Linked DNA regions of Arabidopsis thaliana. The protein of the gene in region 2 interacts with the protein of the main gene of each other region in a pairwise test. Each region holds a gene or a part of one and is shown on either strand. Other genes may lie near its edges. The genes, in order: AT3G29034 and AT4G37220.

The links.
Region 1: the proteins of AT4G37220 (region 2) and AT3G29034 interact in a protein complementation assay, tested with the Arabidopsis thaliana proteins (one large-scale study listed by BioGRID).

The regions. Positions count from the first base shown.
Region 1 is NC_003074.8:11,029,415-11,032,790, forward strand, and holds AT3G29034 (uncharacterized protein), read right to left. Parts: upstream 1,493-3,376; 5' UTR 1,190-1,492; coding exon 929-1,189; 3' UTR 621-928; downstream 1-620.
Region 2 is NC_003075.7:17,513,161-17,516,798, reverse strand, and holds AT4G37220 (Cold acclimation protein WCOR413 family), read right to left. Parts: upstream 1,758-3,638; 5' UTR 1,694-1,757; coding exon 1,518-1,693; intron 1,429-1,517; coding exon 1,321-1,428; intron 1,240-1,320; coding exon 1,169-1,239; intron 1,084-1,168; coding exon 830-1,083; 3' UTR 637-829; downstream 1-636. Other genes in the region: AT4G37230 (Photosystem II manganese-stabilising protein (PsbO) family), read right to left, coding at 171-375; AT4G37210 (Tetratricopeptide repeat (TPR)-like superfamily protein), read right to left, coding at 2,378-2,731, 2,807-3,080, 3,166-3,256, 3,344-3,556.

The DNA.
Region 1 (3,376 bases), on a different chromosome or scaffold from region 2:
TTTTTAAGTTCAAACACAGCATATGAAAATGATGTTTCCTAAGTCCTTATGTTATGAGACTGATGGCATTAGCATATATATTGTATACATAAAGAAATTGTGTATATTTACAAAGTCAAGTGTCTGATGGAAATTTTAAAAAAATATTTATCATAAAATAAAAAACACATAAGAAGTCAAATTAAAGCGACCCAATAACGAATCTAACGCAAAATTATATACGGCCCGGACATTTCCTCACGATCGTCGTTGTGTAATGGTGTTTCATTTTGATAATGTAGTCGAAGGTGGTAATGATTTATTAAATACTATACACGTAACGTTGCTAAGTATCTAATTATATTATATAAAAATAAATAGAAAGATAGGTGATGATCGTTTTTATTTAGTTAAGTTACTGCAGAAATAATATTTGTAATTATATATATTCTTTGTGGTAATATGTGAAATATTTTAAGTATACATTTTAGATAGCGTTGATTTGTTCAATATGTATATGACTATCATGATTTATTTTATTACATGTTTTACATCAAATTTAGTTTCTTTTCCTTAATTTACAGCTAAGACATGTACCAAGTCAAAGTCAACTTTTTGTACCCCAAAGAAAGTCAACTTTAGCCCAATATGTTGAAGAGTATCATTCCGTTCATATTACTTGCGTGACATACATATTATCAAGGATCAAAATTACATTGTTGCATCCTTTTCTTTCAAATTTGTATCAAAGATCAAAACATATTCTTACAAGCCAAAAATAAACAATAATCCGTAAAAACAATATAGTGTTCGTCACTTTAATCAAAAGTCCAAGATCCAACAAGTGAAATAAAATATAAATGAAACAAGATGCTCATAGATATGTATATTTGTCATATACATAAACAAAAGAAGAAGGTTTGATTTGCTTATACAGAAATATTGTTATTTAAAGAGAGATGAAACCTTCACTGACAAGCAAGCCAAAGAAGAGGACAAAGAGGCCAGCGCCAATAGACTTGCCCGGATCAACATATGTCTGAGAATAAGCACCGAGGGTTAACGCACCTCCAACGAGTCCGATGACCAGAGATTGCATGTTTCTTCTGCTCACGCTTCTTTGCCTCGGCTTCACCTTCTCTTCTTGATCTACAACTTCTTGTTCTCGTTTCTCTTCTACTTTCTCCGTCTTTCTTCTTTCTCTCACCATTTTTAAGATTCTTTGATGAATGAAGAGATTCTGATTATGATTTTATGATGTTGGTTTGGTTGTGATTTTGTAATTATAAGTTAATGATGGAGACAAAAATGTGGTCTTTTGGGGATTGCTTTGAGGCCTTTTGATAGACAGAAAAGTCAACTCCTTATAGAAGAGTAAGTGGTCGGTATAGATCCAAGATTATTAATTTAATTACTATTTTGTTATAAAAAAGCAAATGGTGAGAGTTGAAGTTTAGATATGATGTATCATGTTTACACTTATATAATGTTAGTCTAAAAAATAAAATAAAAAAATAATAATTATCACTATATAAGTTATTGCCATTCTGTCTAAATTTTAACAGGTCAGTGAATTAAATTAATATTATTAACAATAAGATATGTTATCATGTATTATCAATAAGAAATCTACTAAGACATGTTATCATGTGCGTAGGAGTTTTGGCCCAATAAATGCTTGTGCACTCCAAGAACATCACAAAGGATGAGAATGAGATGCATTCTTGCTCTTCGATTTCTTAATAAATGTATAATATTGACTTTTCTTGGTTCAAAAGTTTGTTTTTATCTGTTGCATCTTGAGTAGGAAGAGATATTTTTGCTATCTTGGATCCACCTACCAATCTTGTTTCTGACCATTCTTTCTATTCGTTTGCAATTTGGTTGCTGCTAAGTTGGATCAAAACGGCTTTATTCCATAGTTTCAAATGCCTAGTGCTACTGGCAAGATAAAGCGAAGGAAAGTACGCAGAGCTTAGAGCTTAGATCTTTTCTTAGTTTTGTTTACTTACCTATGATGGAGTTTTATAGGAGTACGAATAACGCATGCAAGAAAACTGAACCCCTTATAGATATAAAGATGTACCTTTAAAAAATAAAAATAAAAGATGTACCTTGACACATAGACTAATTGGAAAACTTACAAAAGGCGTTTTTTTCTGTGTTTTTTTGATTAAAACCACAATACCGTACCAATCACAATACTTTTAACTGATTTGTGTTTTTCGAAAAAAAAAAAGTTTGCGATTTAATTTGTCAAATGAACAATACATTGGAACGCTTTCCAAAAGAAGAAAAACTCTTTACCTAGCGGTTTTAAGTAAAAGTGCATTCCAACAAAGAGATCAATTAATTTTTTAACAGCTGTTTATATTATTATTTTTGTGCCAATGTTGATTTCAATAATAGAGGAAACTAAACCGGATAAACCGGGTACAAAGAAAGAGATAAAGACCAGTCTTAGCTAGTTTGTTTTATTTAATTAAAAACTATGAAAATGCAATTACAGGAAATAGAAACATAACAATGCTTTTAGAAATTTTGACAATTATTATCTACTATAAGCTTATATACGTTCTATAATCAATTTACTTGTAAAAAAATTACTTGTAAAAATGATTTTTTTTTTAATTTTCCATAATGAAACTATTCAACGGATTTAATAATATGTATGTTAAACTTTAAAATGTATATTTTGATTTATTTGTGTATATGGTTTATAAATATATGTTATTGTTTATTTATTAACACAAAAAATAAATAATGATTAATATATATATTTATATATATATAATCTATAATCCGCACCACAAATAGATTTTTCACCAATCAAACATTATTCCGTACTGCTTATTTTGTACAAACCACAATTGTCCCACAAATATATTTTTCACGCACTTACCGCAGTTAATTCGTACTGCACGGTCATAATACTTTCTCCGTACACTAAAAACCGCGGTGACCATTCAGATCCATAGAAATCATCCATCGTAACTGTAACGAGACGACGACCACCACTTTTCATGGACCAAACGTTTTTTCTCGGTATATGGGCCAATCTCGTCTGACAGTTCATTTTTCTGGAAGCTTAAATATTTGTTTACTGATTCTATAATTCACCATATAATCTTTTTCTTGTGTTTGTTTTCACTCATACGAACTAACAATCGATTCACGGTTAATCACCCATCATAAGTTTGCTTTACTTTAAATGCGCTTAACTTTAGAGTTTTCTTTAGATTTTTAATCAAAAAAAAAAAATAGTGCATTTTAATAACATATATGACCAAATCAATTTATTTAAATTTTCCTTATACACCACTATATTTCAATATAAGTAGTAATATAGAAGAGAGAACAATTAATTTATGCATGTAAATCCACACAATTTTTACTA
Region 2 (3,638 bases):
GTCTTCTCCTTTGTTAGCTTCGGAATCTTCTTCTTCTTCTTCAATACAGCTTCGACACTAGAAATTCAAAAGGTCGTTATGAATTTACCTTAGATTTTCTGCGTTTTCAGAGTGAATTTTATTGATTTCTGAATTTTTATTGATAATAATCTGCAGATGTTGTGTTTTACGATCAGATTTATTTCCAACGTGGCCTTGGGTGAATGCTGAAGGGATCGACTTGGGACCAAAGTATCCTCTGCGATGCCACGAGCTGCTTGATCGTGAACAAGAACGGTACACGCTCCCCACCAGGAAGTTGTGTACTGTCACTGCTGCGTAATCAACTTCGAAAGGGCCTTCGATTTCATCGAGTGTGTAGGTAAGGCTAGTCATGAGCTTTGTGCTTTGGAAATCTGGTGTGGTGCTACTAACTACTTGAGCTTTGACGGTGAATGATTACAAGAATATACACTTTTGGATACGAACAACGGCACGTAGTTCAATGCTAGGAGGTGATAGAAATTTGTGTTGCTTTATTGTTTGGTGTTAATGAAATGAAAAACAATTTTCAAAAAACAACTATTAGTCATGATCAATTAAAAAGTCTACAATATTCAAGATTGATTCAACAAATCAACCAATATGCAAATTTATTTATATATCTTACAAGTCACACATTTACAAGAAAAAAAAAACAATCTTACAAGTCAGCAGTGCACGATTGAAACTTCTTTTTTATATTCAAGACTTTCTCAAACACAAATGCTCCTTATAAAATTCAAACCTTGAAAACGAATTGAAGACACAAAATGTTGAATGTGTCTACAAACCAATGGGTCGGATTGACTTAAAAGATGTGAAAGAAGATGGTCCAAACCGGGTAAACGAGGAGGGCAACGATCCCAATGGTATTGGAGATTCCATTCTTTTGAGTAAAAGAGTTTTTGAATCCACCTGAAGCTTTAATGTGTTCATGGAAAAGGTAACATGCTATTACTAGACATATGACTGCTCCAACCCAGCTTTCTCTTAGTGTCCAAGCTATAAGGCTCGGCGACACCACCACAATAAGAATCAATGCTACCGGAATCTCTAGCCACTCTACATTTATATGCAAAAAAGAAAGAAGATTTTCAAGATCAAAGTTTCAAACTAATGTTAAGTCATGAAAACTGCTGGTTCTGACCTGGAAATTCTTTAGGGAAGAAAAGCCTGACTATGATCGCGATGAGAGCAATCCATTTCCCAAAGTCTCCGCTGTGAAATTATATCGAATATGGATTATATTTTCAAAAGAACTCCATAACATCATGTTAAAGAACAGTTTTTCTTGATTACCTAAAGAACTGGAAGATAACCGAAGGAAGTGTGAAAAAGATGTATGGTACTAAAAGGGTGGTCAACATTTTGGTTTTCCAGTTGGTACGATCCAATATCAACAGATAACTGTCAAAGCAAAACAATAAGAACCATCATATCAATATATGATTCAAACAAAAACCAGAGAGGTTATATGGTTTTGTCTTTTGGCTCACATAGCGAAGATTGAAGCGGCCCATTGGAGGACTGACGTGCCAAAACCTACCCCGCCGAGCATCCCTACGTCTTTCACGAGCTTCTTTGCAGCGGCGACGAACTCATTCATATCGGAATTGATCAGGTTAGCCGCGTTCTCCTCAGTCTTCATGGCCAAAAACTCACCCCTTCCCATTTTTAAGTTTTAGTTTGTTTGTGAATGTAGTAAACTCTCTCACATAGCAGAGTATTTATAACCAATCACAAAACACCTTGGCTGTTTGTGACAACTGTTGAATCAGAACGAAAGAAAAAAAAATACTGTTGTGAATTTGGATATTCTAGGAGCTGCTCGCCACGTAGGCTTCGCTGGTGACAGAGATAGATTTGACACGTGGCTTCCCCAAGGGTCTCGTTTTCATAGACAGAGCTTATCTATGATATCTCCAGAATCCAGATATAGCGTAATCTTATTATACTAATCATATTATAAGATTCCAGTTTTTAATTCTACAAGTAGCCTACATTTTTTAATAAAGGATATCCAATTATCCCTTAATTATTACTTATAAAATTCCCTAAAAGATCTCCAAAGAACTATTTCTCATCAGATGATTATCAACTGATAATGTGATAATAAGATTCTGCTTTTGTGCCTAAACTAAAAAACACTTTGAAAAAATAAGACTGATTAAACAAGAATAAAAAGTAAAAAATATCTCAGCGATTTAAAAAAGTAGCAAGTACGGACTCCATTACAAAACATGAACCTGAAAATCTAGTCTTGGAAGATTCATGAGGAAGATACCAAATGTTTTTCTCAGTTTTCTTAGGTTAGATACTTCACTAGTAACAGGAATTTTTATACCTTTTTCCGGTTTCAAGAGGAGTTGCCATCTGCTTTGTCTGAAAACTCTAGAGCTGGTTTCTTTGATGCACTTGATTCAATCGAGGTTGTATTCATCAAAACTCTCTTCACTCCTCTTCCAACAACACCCAAGTGAGTAACACCTGATGCTGCTCCTCCTCCTGCTGCACCGGTATGAGCGGTTGAGACTGTAGGCGACTCTAAATCTTTCCCGAAATTGGTGTTCACAGTTCCCATCCTAGAAGAGCTCATTTCAGCAGCAGCAGGAACAACCTTGTCACTGGCATTTGGCTTAGCTGATACCATGCCCATTAGCTCAGCAAGAACCTGCTTTGGGTTCTCTGCTTGTTGTTTTAAATCCTCAAGCTGCAGAAAAAAAATGTTGGACATTAGTATGGGTTTAGAGATATTTTAATGAACTGATAGGTTTAGTTTACTTGCCTTCTTTTCTAGATCTTCAGCGAGACCAGCTAAGTCTCCGATCTCAACTTCTTTGTCTGAAGCAGATTTATCAATGTAAGGAACATTGGATGATTGTTGGATGCCTTCATCTATTTCAGAGACGGTTGAGGAAGTTGCTGAACCAGATGCACCTTTGATTTCATTACTGAGCCTCTCCATCCGAGCTTTGCATATTAACAAAGCTTTTTGACAATATGGTATTGCTTCCTTAGGCTGACATCCAGTCTCAAGACAAATGCAGATGCGGAAGTTTCTGAAACGTTCAAGTTAAGATATAATCCAACAACTGAATTGACAGAAACGAAAATCAGGTACAATTTAAGAAACCACAAGGATACAATTCAGCTGTGCGTCGACTGTCGGGCTCAACCAGTCTCTCTAAGATGGATAATGCATTCTTGTAGTCAGACAGGGAAGACTCAATGTCCTCTGCATAGTAAACAACAGAACTCAAAACCAACCAATAGCTGACATGAGAAAATAAGACAATGCAAAGGTGAAAGGAAGAAAAAATACCTCTTTCCAAGGACACTTCAGCAAGCGAACAGAGTATATCCACTTTTTCCATTGTCTCAGTAGACTGTTTGTCAGTAATAACCCTAGCAATGTCCAGCATTTTCCAGGCCATATCCAAATCAGACTCATCTTCATCAGCATCACCATCAGCATCAGATAGGTCATCATCTTGACAATCTTCACCATCCTCTCCTTGGTCTTTACCACCAGAACCTATACATGAGGGAGAAAAGAAGTCAGCAAACAAAGAAGCAGAAGCATCTATACCCATAAGCTTAACCTAAGACAATTCCCA